Linked DNA regions of Callithrix jacchus. The protein of the gene in region 1 binds, or shares a complex with, the protein of each later gene. Links are inferred from orthologs where the notes say so. Each region holds a gene or a part of one and is shown on either strand. Other genes may lie near its edges.

What was found. Proteins that work in one complex are often made in the same cells at the same time.
Region 2: the proteins of SART3 (region 1) and USP15 are in contact, whole or in part, in a crystal structure (PDB 5JJW), measured with the Homo sapiens proteins. The link is inferred for Callithrix jacchus from reciprocal best matches to the Homo sapiens genes SART3 and USP15. Residues at the interface, in NP_055521.1 of Homo sapiens: Ser438, Ser439, Lys440, Glu443, Gln490, Arg493, Glu494, Trp496, Asp497, Met500, Thr501, Ala505, Trp511, Tyr514, Arg533, Cys537; in NP_001239007.1 of Homo sapiens: Ser23, Leu24, Asp48, Trp50, Gly121, Met122, Phe123, Val124, Lys125, His126, Lys128.

Annotation. Positions count from the first base shown.
Region 1 is NC_133510.1:111,406,498-111,416,534, reverse strand, and holds the end of SART3 (spliceosome associated factor 3, U4/U6 recycling protein), read left to right. Parts: intron 1-295; coding exon 296-372; intron 373-958; coding exon 959-1,127; intron 1,128-4,670; coding exon 4,671-5,125; intron 5,126-5,606; coding exon 5,607-5,759; intron 5,760-6,712; coding exon 6,713-6,903; intron 6,904-7,586; coding exon 7,587-7,764; 3' UTR 7,765-9,002; downstream 9,003-10,037. UniProt on the Homo sapiens protein: U6 snRNP-binding protein that functions as a recycling factor of the splicing machinery. Promotes the initial reassembly of U4 and U6 snRNPs following their ejection from the spliceosome during its maturation.
Region 2 is NC_133510.1:57,032,673-57,043,290, reverse strand, and holds part of USP15 (ubiquitin carboxyl-terminal hydrolase 15), read left to right. Parts: intron 1-295; coding exon 296-411; intron 412-563; coding exon 564-836; intron 837-1,232; coding exon 1,233-1,303; intron 1,304-1,692; coding exon 1,693-1,808; intron 1,809-2,933; coding exon 2,934-3,083; intron 3,084-6,217; coding exon 6,218-6,321; intron 6,322-10,618. UniProt on the Homo sapiens protein: Hydrolase that removes conjugated ubiquitin from target proteins and regulates various pathways such as the TGF-beta receptor signaling, NF-kappa-B and RNF41/NRDP1-PRKN pathways.

The DNA.
Region 1 (10,037 bases):
TCAGTCTTAATATAAATGTACCTTTTGCATGATAATGTTTTTATATTCTTTGCCGTCTAGAGCCCTTAATAGATCACGTTCTGGGTTTCAAGTCTCTCCTGAAAGGGAAAGGACATTTTAAACTCACTTAGAAAGGACTATTTGAATTCTAAACTTCAAGCCTAGATGAATTACATTTTCTTATTGTTTGATGGGAGAAATCTCTTCTGGAGTTATAGAGAAATTAAGAAAAATTTATTTGATTATATCCTTCAAAATCCTAAAGAGTAAAAGTTTTGCTTCTCTTTCTCTCAAGGTTCTTTAGAAGATTGGGATATAGCTGTTCAGAAAACTGAAACCCGGTTAGCTCGTGTCAATGAGCAGAGATTGAAGGTAATGACAGTGTCTTTTTGAAGTCTTTGGCAGCCCTGTTAGCTATTTTGGTTTGATTTGGTATGGATGTTTCTTGTCAAGACGTTTTACGTTTTCCTAAGTGTCTTTTACTCAGTATTAATTATAAAATATTTAGATTAATGTTTAACCTGCCTTGTATCATCATTTTAGACTGGTCTAAAACTTCAGCCCCAATATTAGGTACTTGTTTCATGTAGTGAGGGAATTTTGGATCTAAAATTTACTAGAATTAGTAAAAAAAGAAAAAGAAGAGCCTCACTTAGCCTAATGAGTGGAACATGAACACCCCAACTTATTTAGGGCCTCAGTTTTATGAATTTTTTCCCCTTTTGGTGAGTAATGATTGAGGTGAGGAAATTGCTAATATAACAGACGTCAGATCCAGAATTCCGAGGAACCTGAATGAGCCCTGGTGTGGAATATCTGTGAGCCTGACCGCCTTTTCTCATGGTCTCTGCTTTTCATTTAGTAATGAATTTCCACCCCATCTCCCCTTTCCTGACAAATTAAGTACAGTGAATGTCATCCCCGCATGCAGCAATGCCTCATCTTCCCACTTTTCTAGGCTGCAGAGAAGGAAGCAGCCCTTGTGCAGCAAGAAGAAGAAAAGGCTGAACAACGGAAAAGAGCCCGGGCTGAGAAGAAAGCACTGAAAAAGAAGAAGAAGACCAGAGGCCCAGATAAGCGCGGAGCAGATGAGGATGATGAGAAGGAGTGGGGCGATGATGAAGAAGGTAAGGAGCTCTTGAGAAATTGTGTTTTGAAAGGTCTCAAAGTTAGAGAAGTTGCAAAAACAGTTGAACGTTCTTCCCTGAACCATTTGAGAATGCATTACCAGCTTGGTACCCATCACCCTTTGATCACTGTTAGGGTGTACGTCTTGCAGACAAGGGCCCTCTTCTCCATGACTGGCATGCAGCCATTGGAGCCAAGGTTAGCAGTGATCACTACTCTTGTCTAATATTCAGACCCCAGGCATAGGCATGTCCTTTGTAGTGAAAGGATCTGGATCAGGATGCACTGTTGTGTTGAGGTGTCCTGTCTGCTGGATCTCCTTCAGTCTGGAGCACTCCTCAGCTTTGTTTTTACTGTGATGACCTGCATTCTTGTATTTACTCCGATGACACACTCTGTTGAGTCCCTCAGCCTGGGTGTGTCTGAGGCTTCCTGGGGATTGGATTCTGCTCATGCATCTCGGGCAGGAATAGTGCACAGGTGCTCCTGTGGCCTGCTCATTGAATCCCGTCAGGTGGCCTCTGATTTCGCTTTGTTTCATTGCTGGCGATGGCCCTTTTGGTAATTATGTTGATGCTCTACTTATCCCAGGTTTGGCTAGCAAGAGTTTTTTCACACAGGCCCCTTTGACCCGTCCTCTTGTTCTTTGATCATTTCCTTACCTTCTAGCACACAGTTCCCAAGGGTCATCTTCCCTAACTCAGCCCTGGAGTCTGTCATTTCTCCAAGGTTCCTTTGAGTGATGAGTGGTATTTAGAAGGTGCTAGTTATGCTCACTGCTATTGGGTATTGCTCCTAGGACTGTGTTGTCAAGGGTAGGGAGTGTGTGTGTGCGTGCATGTGTACACAGACATATTTATGTCGATATTTACTTCTGTAACTATTTATATATACTGCAAGTCATGATGTCACACCAGTACCTCCAGTTCCAGTCTAACACCACAGGGTTCCTTTTCACACTTGCAGCAACCTTCTCTCTCTTGTTAAAATTTATGTACTCATTTATTTTCGAGACAGTCTCACTCTGTTGCCCAGGCTGGAGTGCACTGGCATGATCTCGGCTCACTTCAACCTCCGTCTCCCAGGTTTGGGTGATTCTTGTGCTTCAGCCTCCCAAATAGCTGGGATTACAGGCACGCACCATTACATCTGGCTAATTTTTTTGTATTTTTAGTAGAGATGAAGTTTTGCCATGTTGGCCAGGCTGGTCTTAGACTTGTGGCCTCAAGTGACCTGCCTGCCTTGGTCTCCCAAAGTGCTGGGATTATAGGCATGAGCCACTGTGCCCAGCTGTGTCATACCCTTCTCTGACCTTGAGAAACCTGGTTCCCTTTATCCTCAGCATCCTCACTTATTCCATCCAGCCCCTGTACTTATGAAATCAGTTTCCTGTTCCTGCCTCCCCTTCTTGTGGGTGCCATCCCCACCCTGTCTGGTCTCCTACACCTGGGGCCAGGTACGGCCCTGCATGGACCCCCTTGCATCTTCATTCTGGCTTCCATATCTCAGGCGGGGTCTCTGTCACTGCCCCATGTTGCTCATCTTCTTCCTTCCATTCAGGCTGTAGCATTGCACACCACTGCAGCAGCCCTCACCCTGCACAGACCTACCAGGCTTGGCCCTGCTTTATTTATTTATTAAAAAAATTTTTTTTTTGAGAGTGAGTCTTTCTCAGTTCTCCATCCTCAAGTGTGGTGGTGTGATCTCAGCTCATTGCAACCTCTACCTCTGGGTTCAAGTGATTCTCCTGCCTTAGCCTCCTGTGTAGCTGGGATTACAGGTGCCGGCCACCATGCCTAGCTAATTTTTGTATTTTAGTAGAGATGGGGTTTCACCATGTTAACCAGGCTGGTCTGGCACTCCTGACCTCAAGTGATCCTCCTGCCTTGGCCTCTCAGAGTGCTGGGATTACAAATGAGCCATTATGCCCAGCCTTGGCCCTGCTTTTAATGGTTGTGACTTAGTGGAATTTTCCAGCAGTGTTTCTTTCACCCTTGTAATTTTAGGGATGAACAGCTCTGGGTCATATTTATTTCAGAGTCAGTTAAGGTAAAGAATTGTCTCTGATGGCGGGGTGCCGTAGCTCATATCTAATCCCAGCACTTTGGGAGGCCGAGGTGGGTGGATCACCTGAGGTCAGGGATCTAAGACCAACCTGGCCAACATGGTGAAAACCTGTCTCTACTAAAAATACAAAAATTAGCCAGGCATGATGGCAGGTGCCTGTTTTCCCAGCTACTTGGGAGGCTGAAACAAGAGAATCACTTGAGCATAGGAGGTGGAGTTTGCAATGAGCTGAGATCGCACCACTGAACTCCAGCCTGGGAGACAGAGCAAGACTCCATCTCATAAAAAGAAAAAAAAAGAATTGTCTCTGGATGTGTAAGGGACTCTGTACACTTTCTTGGTACAGATGTATGAGCCAGAAAGAACTGGGAATGGAGTCATCCATCTTTGAGTTGACCTTGCTTGCACACCTTGTTTGGGCTTTCCTTAATAACTAAGGGGGGCTCATTGCCCCTCAGGCCTCCCAGTTTAGTAGAGTAAGGCAAATGTGATATGTGACCACGGTGGCATGTCATCAGGACTGTGGGAAATGGAATTGTTAGTAGTGGTGGAGGCCAAAGAAGGCTAGCTCTGTACCAGGAAGACTGAAGGGGAAGAGGTTTGAAATCCAGCGGGGAGACTGAGTGACTGTCTGGCATCAAGAAGGGAAGGGCCGAGCTAGACAGGGAGCCAGTGTTAGCACAGCCTGAAGGCCTATCACAGCCTGGCAATTTCTGTAAGAGCAAATAATTGGGTTTGAACTTGGATACATGGAGAAGAGATGGGGCAGTGTTTGAGGAGGCTGGAGTGGTAGGCGGGCCAGTCAGCTGGACCCAGCCCAGGTGCGCTCTTGAATACAGTAGCAGCGTGCAGGGCTTTCCACTCACTGCAAAAGTGTTGGGTGAACTGATGGGGAGGTCTGTTTGCTGGAGGCAGACATCTGTTGAACTTTAGTCCTGGCCCTCTGGAGGCAGTGGTGAGGACAGACTGGAGTAAAAGATTGTGGTTAAGCTCTCTTAAGGACACAAGGTAATATTGAAAGTGTTTTAGAAATCACAGACCCTTTGTAGTGCTTTCCAAAATGTGCTCTGTGGGGCATGGGCATCAGTTACTAGGGTGCTTTTCCAGTGCAGATTCTCATGTCCTGTCCCACCCCTGTTGACCTGGGCTTTTGTAGGAGAGGGGCCCTGGGATTTGCTTTCTGAACTTTGAGACCCTCTGGCCTTTTGTATAATTAAGAGTGGACAATGGGGATTTATATTATTACTTCCACTTGACTGAGCCCACTTACCCGAGTATAACTGGGGCACACAGAAAGTCGTGGGACAGGTCAGGCGGGTCACAAAAGACTTCTCCGGGTGATGCTTGCTCTTCTGTGTCTGGCGAGGGAGTGTCACATGCAGCTGTCACAGCTCATTCACATCACACCTCTGTTCAAGCTCCCCAAAGAGAGGTAACGGTTAACCAAGGCTATTTTTTCTTTTGAAAACCTGTAGAGCAGCCTTCCAAACGCAGAAGGGTGGAGAACAGCATCCCTGCAGCTGGAGAAACACAAAACATGGAATCAGCAGCAGGGCCCGCTGGGAAATGTGCTGTTGTAGATGTGGAGCCCCCTTCGAAGCAGAAGGAGAAGGCAGCCTCCCTGAAGAGGGACATGCCCAAGGTGCTGCACGATAGCAGCAAGGACAGCATCACCGTCTTTGTCAGCAACCTGCCCTATAGCATGCAGGAGCCGGATGCGAAGCTCAAGCCGCTCTTCGAGGCCTGTGGGGAGGTGGTCCAGATCCGACCCATCTTCAGCAACCGTGGGGATTTCCGAGGCTACTGCTATGTGGAGTTTAAAGAAGAGAAATCAGCCCTTCAGGCACTGGAGATGGACCGTAAAAGTGTAGAGGGGAGGCCAATGTTTGTTTCCCCCTGTGTGGATAAGAGCAAAAACCCCGATTTTAAGGTAGGTTTATGGAAAAACAGAATGCCTTGTATCTGTGATTGCTGTAGGGACTTCCTTCCTGCAGCAGTGATATTTAGGATATAAACAGAAGTTTTATGCTGTTTGGATCTAAACTTCCTTGTCTGCCGAGGTCCATGCTGACCTGGTTGACTGAGGTCTGACTCATGGCATAGGTACTTGCTGCTGGGTGCTTGGTAGTGACAAGAGACTGTGCTAAATGTGTTGTATGTATGTCACCTCATTGAACCCTTATCAGACTCTGTGACTGGCCACTTTTATTCTTGCCATTTTACAGAGGAAGACATGGAGGCTAGAGAGGTTAAATGACTCAGCCCGGTGGCTCTGTTAACAAGCTTCAGCATGGCTTGGCTCTGGTCTGCCTGGCTGGGCATGCTCCTGGGGACAAGGCTGGTGTCAGAGGAGTCAGGTGAGCAGGGTCAGGCCTTGAATCATGGTTTTTTTTCTCCCTTCCTTCCTACAGGTGTTCAGGTACAGCACTTCCCTGGAGAAACACAAGCTGTTCATCTCGGGCCTGCCTTTCTCCTGCACTAAAGAGGAACTAGAGGAAATCTGTAAGGTTCATGGCACCGTGAAGGACCTCAGGCTGGTCACCAATAGGGCTGGCAAACCAAAGGTCAGCGTTAGAGCAGACTGTGCCTCTTCAAGACTCATGCAAACTTCGTTTTTGTATCTGTTCAAAGATTATTTACCTTTAGGGTGGGTTCCTAGTTCATCTGCTGAGAAAAGTTATTTTAACAAAGATCTGCACACTTAGCTCTACTTATATTTGGAGTCAGATTAACCTGTTTGTAGTTAATTGTACTAAAAAGAATAAGGCACTTGGAAATAGATGATCATGAATTCACCATACTCTGGCCCCTTGCTGTGGGGCTTGAGGGAAGCCCTGTGACCAGCAGCACACAGGCTTTGGGGTGGGCACCTTGTGTAGCCTCCTCCCTCTTTCCCAGGCCTCTCTTTCCCTGGGGCCTCCAGCCAGGCCCCTTGAGTCCCTCCATTGCAGTACGTCTTCTCATGTCCTTCCTTCTTGCCCCGCAGTCTCCTGCTAAGTCCTTTTGTGCCCCATTTTGAGTAGTAAGTGGTTTTGTGTTACTGTCTACCCACTGCCCACTTTACCTCCTCCCCTTTATCCAGGTTAATGGAGAGAAAAAGAAGATGAAACGGGGGGGCGGGGTGCGGTGTAAGGGCACAGAAACACGAGGGCTCACCTGGGCACCTGGACTGCTCACCCTGTGTTCCGTCCACCTCTTGGTTTATTTGCTGGATTTATACTGGTCCATCTGTCTGTTTCCTTCTTTCTTTCTACTTCCGCAGCACATACCACGTGTCCTGAACTTGGAAGGGTTATCTGAAGTTACAGTGCGTAACAGCAATAGGGAAGGAGAGGAGGGTGGGGAAACAAGCCTGTAGACAGAGGATGTGGTGGTGGGGAAGATAATCTGTTGGTGGGGCGTCTGCTGTGTCCTGGTCTGCTGGTCTCCAGGAGGAGGCCCAGTGCCTGCCCTGTGGGAGGAGGTTGTATCCTGGGTCTGCAGGATCTGACTTGGTTCTGGATCTTGCCTCTTCCAGGGCCTGGCCTATGTAGAGTATGAAAATGAATCCCAGGCGTCGCAGGCTGTGATGAAGATGGACGGCATGACTATCAAAGAGAATGTCATCAAAGTGGCAATCAGCAACCCTCCTCAGAGGAAGGTTCCAGAGAAGCCAGAGGCCAGGAAGGCATCAGGTGGCCCCATGCCTTCACCGCAGACATACGGAGCGTAAGTGCTTGCACAGTAGATTAGTGCAGACTTCACTGTGGCTGACACCAGTTCATGGACCATGGTGGGATTAACCAGGACGAATTAGCTTCCTGTTAGGACAGAAAAGCCAAGGTCTGCTGTTCTTGTGGTAATCACTGTGGTTCCACTGGAGCAAGGTGTCCAGAGCAGGTCCAGGGAGGGTGCAAGCCTAGGCAGTGACCCCTGCCTGGTATTGGCCAATTTACACTTCGTCATTTATTACAGAACTAAAGGCAGTGACTATTTTAAAGTCCCCTTTGCCAGTTGGATCTGTGTGTTTAAAACAAAATCTCATACCCATGTGTGTGCCAGTCTACAGCCCTAGCTATGATCCATATAAGCTGTGCTTTTCCCCCCGATAGGGATGAGGAGGAGATAGCGGAATTGCTGGGTGACTGGTGAGGTCTGAGAGGCGATAGTCACTCTGATTCCCTTTGAGTGTGACTGGTGCTCAGGGTTAATCTTTGCCAAAACTGAACAAGGTCGTTTGTTGAAGCAGTTTTTACTTAATAGCCAGAATTAAGGAGGCAAGGATTATCTCATCCTTCTTTTTCACTTTTTAACTTCTGGTTATATTAAAACTGTCTTGGCTTATTTTTACAAATAAACCAGGGGACATGAATTGTTGCTTCAAAAGGTCCATTCGGTGTTTGCTCTTCTAGGAGGGGGAAGGGAAGGACGCAGCTGGCTCTGCTGCCTCGTGCCCTGCAGCGCCCAAGTGCTGCAGCTCCTCAGGCCGAGAACGGCCCTGCCCCAGCTCCTGCAGTTGCCACCCCACCAGCCACCGAGGCACCCAAGATGTCCAATGCCGATTTTGCCAAGCTGTTCCTGAGAAAGTGAACAGGACTCTGGGAGACAGGAAATGCCTTACTTCACTCTGGCCCGGAGGACCACCCACACTACCCACCAGTGCACTGGGGATGGACAGCCCTGGTGTGCTGCCCACTCGCAACCACAGATGGCTCCTCTGCTTCACAGAAAGGGGAAGAGGCCCTAAGTCAGGAGCCTTTCAGTGCTCCCTCATATTGAGGGCGGTGGCAGAAAAGTGACCACTCTGCAGGCTGGGCCCAGGATGTGGTGTCCTAAGCGGCTTTTGTATCTTCAAGATTGAGGCACAGAAGCAAAACTAGAACACAGAGTTTTTGAGACGCACTTGTCCAAATGTTTCTGGCCAGCTCCGGCCCCTTTTTATATGACACTTGTCTTCCACCCTGGACAGCACATGTGCCCATCATTCTTTTAAAAGATGAAATGGCAGATGCTAGTAATTCACCAGAATGGCCTAATGTGGGGGTGGGTCTGAGGGAAGTCATCTAAAAACATTTGCTGGATTTTTGTTCAAGGGGGCTGTGCATTTTTATATTCTGTATTTGTAAATGACACGTCAACCATTGTTTTATGTTTCCTTAAAGCAGAATATTTGCAACATTTGTATAGGAATTATTTGTGCCACCTGCTGTGGACTGTTTTCTTTGCCTAGTGATTAGTGACTTGTGTTGTCTAAACATGAGTTTCAGCCTTTTGGTTTTGTTTAATACCATGTTAAATGCAAACTTTCCTTCTCCCCATTTAGCTTTATTAAACTGAAGTTCTCTTAAAAACTTATTGCTGAACGGTACTCAGATGTACATTCACATATGGATGTGTTTTGAAGTGGGTGTACCTTGCTTTACCTAATGGATGTGTAAATAGAACTTCTGTTAAGTCAAATCTCATTGTCACTTTGATTTAAATTATTTCAGCTGTGATGTGTCTTCAGTTTTATACAATTTAGGTTATAGCAGTTTGACACTGGAGCTTATGAGCTTTTTTACTTCACATCTTATATCAAATAATATTTATTGCTTTGAAAACAGCATTGCCAGTTCAGTAGGGGAAGCTTCCTTTATTTACACAGTCTGGAGAAGGATGTCAGGGAATCCTTGTATATGTTATGGGAATCAACTCCTCATTTATCTGTTGTGTTAAGTTTTTGTGCATCAGTCGGGCTTTTCTATATTTTTTTTAACTTAACAGTTTTTAATATAACCTATTAAAAAGTAGACAGAACAGTAAAATAAACTCCTCTGTGCCTACCATTCGGCTTCCAGCATTCCTCAGCTCCCAGCCCCTCTTCCTTCATGTCTGTCTCCCCTTCACCTTCTGTTCTTTTTAGGCATGTTCCAGATGTCACCGTGACTGTCCAATAATGTTGTGGCAGGTGTCTCAGGATTGAAAGGCCTTCACTCCTAGAAATATTAGCAGTAATCCCTTAATGTCATCAACTGTCCACTCAAATTTCCACCTTCCTATGTCAGCTCTCCTCCCTATAAATTATCATTGGTTGGTAAGCCTCATAAGTCTTTTAAAATGTAGGTTCTCCCTCCATCTCTTTCTTACACAAAACTTTTTACTAGGCTTTACTTCTGAATTAAATTCAAGCAGTGGCTACTGGCAGCAGCAAGAGCCTTTGCTGTCCCATGCGTTCTTCCCACAGTGTTCTCCGTGATGCTGCTTGGAAGGCCATTCAGCTGGTGCGATGATTTGGGTAGCTCAGAGGGAGCCCTCATGGCTGGGGGCCTGACACATGAAGAGCCATGACTATCACTGTGGGTGAGTGTGGCCTTACTTCTTGCTGTTTCACATTAACTGGCTTTCTTGCCTGCAGCCAGTATTCTGACCTTAATGTCATACTTGCAGATGTCAACCCCGGCTTGTTACAGGGACAAACCTTTTCAGGCTTGAGCAGAACCCCATTTAGGTTCGGGGTTGACTGTTGTACAAATGGATTTCCAGGACCATATGAGTGGGTTTGTTTGTTTTCCCTAGAAAATCCAGAACTGATGGTAAACAGAAACCTGAGGAACTACTTCAGTTACTTGTCTTAGTAAAAAAACAAAACAAGAAAATCAGTGATTCATCCTTATCCACCTAGGTGGGTGGGTTATCCAACTTCTGGCTCACTTGCTCATGGAAATCACCATCTTGGATCTGTTGTTCCTAAGGCTAAAGGTCAGAATACCCCCATTGCCCTTAGGACAGATGGAAACACCTCCCAAATAAGACAGCAGAATCTCAGGGATTCATGTAATAAAATAACTTTATTAGAATCAGGAATTTGTTAAAATAATAAC
Region 2 (10,618 bases), about 54 Mb from region 1:
GGATGGTCTCCATCTCTTGACCTAGGGATCCACCTGCCTCGGCCTCCCAAAGTGCTGGGATTACAGGCATGAGCCACCGCACCAGGCAACTATTAATTATTTTTATAAAGACAAGCAAAACAGATTACTAGTCAGTTACACTTATGTTACTGTAAGTTTGAATTCATCCTTGAATCAGCTAAGTGACCACTGTTATAGCATTAAAAAAGTTTTGTTTTACTGATGGAAGAGAAAACTTTTTTTAAGTTTTTATCTTTGTAGTACTGAACTTGTTTGATTTCTGATTCTATTTAAGCCGATATGTCAAAATATCTACTGAAACTGAAGAAACTGAAGGATCCCTACACTCCTGTAAGGACCAAAATATTAATGGGAATGGCCCAAATGGCATACATGAAGAAGGCTCACCAAGTAAGACTTTTCTGTTAACTTGTAAAAATGTTTCACTTAGATAATTGCTTCAGAGAAAAAGTTAAGAAAATGGGAATTAAAGAATTAAAAAATACCTGCAAACCTAAATATAACATTGGGTTTATTTAAAGCTCTCTAATATCTAAAATTAGGTGAAATGGAAACAGATGAGCCAGATGATGAATCCAGCCAGGATCAAGAACTTCCCTCAGAGAATGAAAACAGTCAGTCTGAAGATTCAGTTGGAGGAGATAATGATTCTGAAAATGGATTATGTACTGAGGACACTTGCAAAGGTCAACTCACGGGACACAAAAAACGATTGTTTACATTCCAGTTCAACAACTTAGGCAATACTGATATCAACTACATCAAAGATGATACCAGGCATATAAGATTTGACGATAGGCAGCTTAGGCTAGATGGTAAGTATTTGTGAAAAATGGCTTGAACATTAAACAAGCAGAACAAGTAATTTTTTTTTTTTGTTTTTTAGTTAAAAACCATGAAATTCAGGTCTGTAAAGAAAATTGCCATTTACTTTTCTATCTCAAATTTTATATGAAAGGCCTTAATATCTTAGTAGAGTAAAATGTGTGTCTATGTTTCATAAAAGGAGATTGAACTTATGCTTAAGTTTTCTGTCTTTTTTAAAACTCTTAAATTATTTCATTGGCTTGGAAACTGCTATTAGCCCTAATCACCTGGTACAATTAGAAAAGATTGCTATTTATTTATTCTTATATACATCCTAACATTAAAATATATTTTAATACTAAGATGTATTAAATTTTAAAGAAAAAATATGTTTTCCACCTTAGAAAGATCTTTTCTTGCTTTGGATTGGGATCCTGATTTGAAAAAAAGATATTTTGATGAAAATGCTGCTGAGGTAAGTCATCACTTGCTCATTCATGTTACCTATCCTTGATTTACTTTATGTAATTACCAGAGATAATCATACTGTTTTGTTATATTCTTTGCTTCCACCAAATACATTTATTTTGCCAGTAAAAAATTGGTCATGAACTAGAAAAGAAAGTCTTTGCAAAAATACCTTTTTTTTTTAAAGATTCAAAGTTTGTTTTCAACATGCTTTGGTCATCCAGATAGGAGTATAAAGGAATTATTTAGAAGTATGGTATAAATCTCAACTGAAATAAGCTTTATGATTCTTTTGAGAAAGTTTAGGAGTTTTCATTATTATTCATAGTAAGATGGTATCACTAAAATGAGTTTTGTTTCATTTGTTCTCTTAACTCAAGAAATACTTCTCTTTAGGACTTTGAAAAACATGAAAGTGTGGAGTATAAACCTCCTAAAAAACCCTTTGTGAAATTAAAAGATTGCATTGAACTTTTTACAACAAAAGAAAAGCTAGGTGCTGAAGATCCCTGGTAAGAGACAAAATTGTTTTTGTTTTCTTTAAGGATTTATTCTGAGGTGTGTGCCACATCAAGTTGAAAAAGTAATTACTGAATTTCTTTTGATAATAAATACTAAAGCTTTCTTTATATAGTAAGTTGTAGCCTTTTAAGAGGGATGGGAATGTCTTAAAAAAATACTACTACAGGCTGGGCGCAGTGGCACACGCCTATAATCGCAGCATTCTGGGAGGCCAAGGTGGGCGATCACAAGGTCAAGAGATCGAGACCATCCTGGCCAACATGGTGAAACCCCGTCTCTACTAAAGTTACAAAAAAATTAGCTGGGTGTGGTGGCATTTGCCTGTAATCTCAGCTACTTAGAAGGCTGAGGCAGGAGAATCGCTTGAACCCAGGAGGTGGGAGTTTCAGTGAGCCGAGGTTGCGCCACTGCACAACCTGTCGACAGAGTGAGACTCCATCTCAAAAAAACACCTGTAATCCTAGCACTTTGGGAGGCTGAGGTGGGTGGATCACCTGAGGTCGGGAGTTCAGAACCAGCCTGGTTATCATGGTGAAAGCCCATCTTTATTTTAAAAAATAAAATAAAATAAAAAAATTAAAAGTCCTATTTGCAAAAAAAAATTTTTTAATTAAAAACTATTATAGTGTTGCCTTAATTTCATTACTGTGTTTTCCATAATAGTCATTATACTATTAATAATTCGTTTTACTTTTTTTCCACGAAATTTTAGCTATATAATCATTTTGAGAGAAGCTTTTTAGGAAAAGTATAGTGAAACATTTTGTGGTGGAGTTCCATTAGAGCCCAGAAGTTTTGAGATTTTCTAATACCTATCTTCCAGGACAAATTTGCAATCTATGTCTTTTTCACATACTAAAAGAGAAATAATCTAGTCCTCATTATTTCTTTCAATGTGTATTTGTATATTAATTTATAATGGTTAAATCTATTTGGAAAATGTGTTGAAAATAAAAATAGGAAAAAGAGTTGCTTTCAACCTGGTACATATTAGGCATATGATAATTGCCCACTGAATAAATGTAGAACTTTCCAAACATTTCTGGTCTATTATTTTCATTAATGGGGGTTGTTTGTACCTCTATCAAACTTTAAATGCTTCTTTTTATTCTTAGGTATTGTCCGAATTGTAAAGAACATCAGCAAGCCACAAAGAAATTGGATTTGTGGTCCCTGCCTCCGGTACTTGTGGTACATCTCAAGAGATTTTCTTACAGTCGATATATGAGAGACAAGCTGGATACTTTAGTTGATTTTCCTATCAAGTAAGTTTTAATTGTACTTAGAAGCATTGGGCAACTCTTCTTTCAGACTGATGCTTTTTGTTAGTATCCTTTTTTTGTGAGACAAAGTCTTGCTTTTTCACCAGGCCAGAGTGCAGTGGCACAATCTCGGCTCACTGCAACTTCCACCTCCCAGATTGAAGTGATTCTCCTCCCTCAGCCTCCTGAGTAGCTGGGACTACAGGCGAGCACCACCATGCCCAGCTAATTTTTGTATTTCTTTAGTAGAGACAGGTTTCACCATGTTGGCCAGAATGGTCTCAATCTCTTGACCTTGTGATCTGCCCGCCTCAGCCTCCCAAAGTTCTGGGATTACAGGTGTGAGCCACTGCGCCCGGCCATAGTTATTATCCTTTAGTAAACATCAGATGTCATTGGACCCAATTGCAGCTTTCAAGTTTGTTTTGGAGTAGTTCTAACAATTTATAAGGATCAGTGTTTCAAAATTTTAATTTTTTTTTAGAGATTTTCCAAAGACCAAAGAGAAAATATACTTTTTTTTTTAAAGATGGGGTTTCACCATGATGGCCAGGCTGGTCTTGAATTCCTAACCTCAGGTGATCCACCCACCTCGGCCTCCCAAAGTGCTAGGATTACAGGCGTGAGCCAGCGCAGCCAGCCAAAAATATACTTTTAAAAAAATAATAAAACTCCTTCTGTATTACGTTATCTATGGGTTAATTGGTCTCATTTATAAATCTAAGATACTTTATGGTACTTAGTGATTTTGTTTATCCTAGGAATTATTTCATGATTACTCATCACTTATTCCTAAATATGCCAGTTTGGTTTTTTGTTTGTTTGGCTTTTGAGATGGAGTCTTACACTGTTGCCCAGGCTGGAGTGCAGTGGTACAGTCTCAGCTCACTGCAACCTTCATCTACTAGGTTCGAGTGATTCTCCTGCCTCAGCCTCCCAAGTAGCTGGGATTACAGACACCTGCCACCACTTATATTTTTAGTACAGACAGTGTTTCACCATATTTACCAGGCTGGTCTCAAACTCCTGGCCTCAAGTGATCCTCCCGCCTTGGCCTTCCAAAGTGCTGGAATTACAGTCATTAGCCACCTCGCTCAGCCCTTAATATGCTGTTTTCAAAAAGACTAAAATAAAACTGAATAATGGAATTGCTTAGAAGGATAACACAGTAGTGAAATAAATCATCACTATTGCATCATCCTTCAGTTTTCCTGTTGCCATTATATGACATCATATTTGTAAAAAGATATATTTATGGCCATACCAACTTCAATGCACCCCAATCTTGTCTGTAAAAAGATATTTAAAAAGTCTATACATCTTCATATTCTTTTTTTTCTTTTACCCCCTGCTTTTACTAAACAGTTGTGAATTCAGAATGACAAAAAGAGAACATTGTATTCTCAATCACTTATTCAACAGGAAGGACTTTGTCACACAATATTTTGCACAAGAACTTGTACTCTCCCATTTTGCAAAGAGAACTTTCAGTGGTATTATTTGATATTCTGTGGTATTTGTGCACCAAAATTTACTTGATACAGTTAGTAAATGGACAAATGCTAATGGCAGGTGTATCTACAAAGGTAACTAGAAGGAAATAGATTACATAAAACAAAATATTTATTGGATTGCTCATACTAATTGATGGTTATAAATTTAAAATTATATATAATTATTGAATAAAAAAAGATCATGTTCTTTTTAACAAAATAGTGAGCCATTAAAAGTTTTCAATAATATAGCATTTGGCAATGTAAGAATAAGAAAAAGAATCAGGAGTAATGACAAACTAGAATCTGTTAGAGATGTATTTAAAAATTAGAATCGTAATTGCTTTTTAATGATGCAAATACAAAAAGAACAACCAGAAATAATAATAACCTATTTACAAGATGGTCATTTTCCAGGTTCTTAAATGATAGATTATGATTAGTCAGTTACATTCAAAGAATGTTGCCCATTTCAGGTTTATAGGTCATCAAAGCCAACAAATGTAGAATAAAAATTTGATATATTAATATTTTTTAAAACTTCTGAGAAAGTTGTTTTCACTGTTCTTGTATTTTTCTTCACATAAATCACTTCCTTTTTTTTAATGTCCCACCCTGCCCATAAACTACTTTTTATAAAATTGACTTTAAAATAAAGATCCATTGGACCCAGGTGGTAAATAGTGATGACTGTTTCTCCTGATATACTGAGAATTAAATGTGTTAGCATAAAAACATTAATCTGAATAACAACATTCAACGTTTGTATTTATTTATTTTTTAATTTTTGTGGCTACATAGTAGGTGTATATATTTGTGGGGTACATGAGATGTTTTGATGCAGTGTGAAATAATCACATCATAGAGAATGGGATATCCATCCTCTCAAGCATTTATCCTTTCTGTTACAAACAATCCAGTCACACTCTTAGTTATTTTTATATGTACAATTAAGTTATTATTGACTATAGTCACCCTGTTGTGTGATCAAATAGTTGTTTTATTCATTCATTTTTTTTTAACTCATTACCATCCCCACCCTTCCCAGCCTCTATTAACCATCCTTCTACTCTTTCTGTTCATGAGTTCAGTTGTTTTGATTTTTAGATCCCACAAATGAGAACATGTGATGTTTATCTTTCTGTGCCTGGCTTATTTCATTTAACATAATGATCTCCAGTTCCATCCATGTTGTTGGAAATGGCAGGATCTCATTCTTTTTTATGGCTGAATAGTACTTCATTGTGTATATGTACCACACTTTTTTTAACCATTCATCTGTTGATGGACACTTACTTCCATCAACATTACAACATGTAGTTCCATCGAATCAACGAGATTTGGTTGTTGTTTCCAGATCTTAGCTGTTGTGAAAATTGCTACAACGAACATGAGAGTGCAGATATCTCTATGATATACTCAATGAAACATTTTAACATTTTCAACCCATAAACAAATCTTTGCCAAAACATTAATATCTCAGAGGTACATGTATGATTTGTTTTGTAAGTTACTTGACTCATAATTTCTTTATTGAGATACACACACACACACACACACATGTCAAACAACAATGGCAGAAGGGAATAGAATTCATTGCATTTAGGGACAACATAAAATTAACTTGATTTCTTTTTTAAACAGTGACTTGGATATGTCGGAATTCTTAATTAATCCAAATGCAGGTCCTTGCCGCTATAATTTGATTGCTGTTTCCAACCACTATGGAGGGATGGGAGGAGGACACTGTAAGTTGACAGTTTGCCTTTTTACCCAAATCATGGTGTTTGAAGAACTCCAGGCTTTTTTCTTTACGATATTTATTAATTCTTAAGGATAAAATCTCAGATGTGTCTTGCATATAGTAATTAAATATTGATTAATGAATGAGTCAGCTTTTGAACCTTTTTTTTTCCACACTCATAGAGGATTGAGTTCATTATACTCCTCAGTTCAGGGCCCAGGAGGGAATGTTGTTGTCTTAGAGTGCATTTCCCTCCACATTCTCCTTCCCCTTTGCTTTCTAACAAGTTTGATGCATATACTCTTGTAAATCATTAATATTTATTCATTTATATAATTAGTACTGTGGTATCGATCTCACTAGGTCTTGACTCTTACTAAGATTTATCTATGTTATTTTGTGTCTGTTTAGTCAGTTGTTTCTCACTGCTCATGATTTACATCTACCATATTTTATCTCTCCACGTACCTTTTGATGAACCTCTAAATTGCCTTTCACTTTCTACCACTGTAAGACTGATAAGCAATTGTTTATGGTATCCTGTGTAAGAATTTCTTTGGGCTGCATACCCAAAAGTGAGATTGCTGAGTTTAAGTAAGTGTTGTCAGATTGTTCCACTCTACATTCTGCAAGCGATTTATTTTTCTGTTGAACAATATTTGCATTCCTTGGATATATCCTACTTATCTTTGTATATCTTTGATACATAGCTGGATTTAGTCCAACTTATTTAGGGTTGTTACAGTTTCATTCATAAGTGAAATGGTCTTCTAAGTTTTTTATATTTTCATTTATCTTAGTTTGGAATAAAGATTAGAGTCATTAAACAAGCTAGGATGCTTTATCCTTCGTTTGGTTTTTTTGGAACATCTGGTACAATACAGGAATTGACTATTCATCAAAGTCTAGTAGAATTAACCTGTAAAGCCATCTAGGCTTAACAATAATTGTTTTTATTTATGTTATGCATATTGGTCTCCAGTTTTCTTTTTCCTTTTGTGTATATTTTGATGTTTTCTTTATATCTAAAAGTGTATCCATTTCATTTAGGTTTTCTAATTTATTTAAGAACTGTTTATAATACTTATATTATCCTGTTTTTGTCTTTTTTCATTCTTTTTCTCTGTTATTTTTTTTAAATCAATCTTTCTGGCTGGGTGTGGTGGCTCATGCCTGTAATTCTAGCACTTTGGGAGGCGAAGGCAGGAGGATCACAAGGTCAGCAGATTGAGACCATTCTGGCCAACATGGTGAAACCCTGCCTCTACTAAAAATACAAAAATTAGCTTGGCTTGGTGGCGCATGCCTGTAAATTCCAGCTACTCGGGAGGCTGAGGCAGGAGAATCACTTGAACCAGGGAGTCAGAGGTTGCAGTGAGCCAAAATCACACCACTGCACTCAGCCTGGCAACAGACTCAATCTCAAAAAAAAAAAAAAAAATTAGTCTTCCAGATTTCTCTCTTATTAATCTTTTCAAAGAATTAGCTTTTCATCTTATCAGATTTTTATTTTTGTTGTTGTATCTATGTATTCATTTTTATCTATTTATGTTTTTTGAGACCAGGTCTCGCTCTGTCACCCAGGCTGGAGTACAGTGGCATGATCTTGGCTCACTGCAGCCTCCACCTCCTGGGTTCAAATGATCCTACCAGCTTTGCCTCCTGAGTAGCTGGGACTACAGGCCATCTAATTTTTTGTGTATTTTTAGTAGAGACAGGGTTTCACTATGTTGCCCAGGCTGGTTTTGATCTCCTGGGCTCAAGCGTTCCTCCTACCTTAGCCTCCTGAGTAGCTGGGACTGCAGGTGCACGCCACCACACCTGGCCTGTATGTATTTATTCTATCTAATTGATTTCTTCTCTTCCCTTCATTGTATGGGAATGTAACCTCTTGTTACTCTGGGTTTCTGTGTTACTCTTCTTATAATTTCTTGAGTTGAATGCTTAACCTTTTTGCTCTTCATTGTTTCTCCTATACTGAAGGCTGTAATTAAAGGCTATAAATATTCTGCTAAGTACTGCTTTAGCTGTACTTAATATTTTTATTGTCTTTCAATTGTGTGTATGTTTCAGTTTCCTTTATGATTTCCTAATTAGCCCAATGTTATTTAATCATATGCTTAGTTTCCAAATATACAGAGTTTGTCACTTTGTTCTTTCAGTTTTATTACATAGCAGTTGAGAACATTGTCTTTATTAATCTTTAGGAGTCTGAAAGTTCCCAGTGTCTTAATACGTACATGGTTCGTTCCTTAAATGTTTATATGCTTAGAAAAAAATATACATTTCCCATTTAGATATGGAGTTCTTTGTATCTCTGATAGCTTAAGCTTATCAACTGTATTCAAACCATTACTCTCCCTGGTTATTTTTTATGTTCATTTTATTCCTGAGAGGAATTTTGTCAGGACTCCTACTGAAGTGTTGATTGATCTGCTTCTCCCAACAGTTTTATTAGTCCTTATTAATATTTTGCATAATTACATTTATGTTCATAATGGGTAGCTCTTCTGTGTTGTTCCTTTTACACCAGGATTTGACATTCTTGGCCCCTTTTTTCTTTTTCTCAGCTATTGCAAGTGTTACTCTAGCTTTCTTTTGGATATCATCATTTAACTTACAAACTCTCTGTGCCTTTTTGTTGAATGTGTCTCTTATAAATCACAGAGTAGCATCTGCTCTGCAGTGGTCTTGGATTGAGATTGACAAACTCACAACACACAAAAGGCTTCACCCAGCACCAGGTTGACTTAGATTTAAGACAGGATACAGGTCAAGAAACAATACAGCATACACAGCAACAGCTTAGCAGAGGTCCTATATGTAGCTGGAAGGGGAGAAAATAGGGTAGAGCATGCTCAAAGGAAGCTGCTCAGCCCATTGCTGTTTTCTTCCACTCCTCACCAAGGCTGATTTTCAACCAGAGTGCATGGGGTACAATCATATTAAGTGTCAAATATTTTGTTAGCCCAAGAGGGCTAACCCAGCAGCAATAAGACTCTGATTTAGGTAGCCTGAATATTGCTAATTTCTGTGACGAAGATTGAAGCATGAATTTAAAAGCTTTCTTCTGAATTGTCTTCTCATTTCTGCCTCCAGCCATTCTGTCGCATTCTTCAGTCATTTTGCATGCACATAGAAATATCCTTGAGTTAGTTCATTCTGATATGCCGTTAATCATATCAGTGACATATTGAGAACAGGGTTCTCAGTTTGTTTTTTTTTGTTAGCTTCTTTGACCTTAACTTCCCTCTGCTTCTGTGGTTTTTCTCCGTGGTTGATTTTTGAGGAGAGGGAACCAACAGCAGGTAGAATATGAAACATTTCTTCCACAGGGTAGGTGCTCAGTAAAATCGTTAACTAAACAACTTACAGTTTAAGCCGTTATTTTATTGTGGTGGGTTGGCTGGTTGACTGGTTGGTTGGTTGGTTGGTTGGTTGGTCTTTTCTTCTGGCTTCCAATGAAGCTTCACTAAAGATGATGATTACCTTACTTTCAAAGTAATGTCATTTCCTCTGATCATCATCCAAACAGGTAACTTAATAGAGAATATTGCCCTTTGGTTTTAGCCGTATTAAGGATAATACCTCAATTTCTTATTTATATATGAATGGGAAGGATAATAATTTTTACTTTAGGATGGGAAGAATTATTTAGGTTATGGAAGAACCATACCCTACAAAGTGTCGCTTTTTAGAAGCAGTGACCACAGTTAATTATTTTAGGAACATTTTGCAACTTCATTTCTTCAGTTACTGGGTAGTTTATGTAAGACATTGGATGGGAAATGGGGCTTTTTTTGACTTAAAGATAAAGCAGATCTTTAAAAATTATGTGGATTAATTAATCACTTTTTGCCTTTTTCTTGCTCTGTGCAGTCATCCCTTTGTATCAGTGGATACCACAGATGCTCAAGTTCCTTAGATAAAATACTGTACTATTTGCATATAACCTATCCACATCCTCTCATATACTTGTATGTGTAGATTATTTAGAATACCTAATACGATGCCTGCATGTCACTTCATTCACATGAATTCAGCATAGTACTCAGTACATGGCAAATTCAAGTTTTAGTCTTCAAAACTTTGTGGAAATTTTTTCCCCCAAATATTTTTGATCTGTGGTTGGCTGGGTTCAGGGATGCAGAACCCCTATATACAGAGGACCAATTGTACTTTTGTTAAAAACTGAAAGAGATTCTGGTGTTTGGAAAAAAAAAAAAAACTATAGCTTAATGAGTAGAGCTATCAGAAAACAAATTGTCATAGAAAATTTAATAATAGTTGAAATTTCAAAC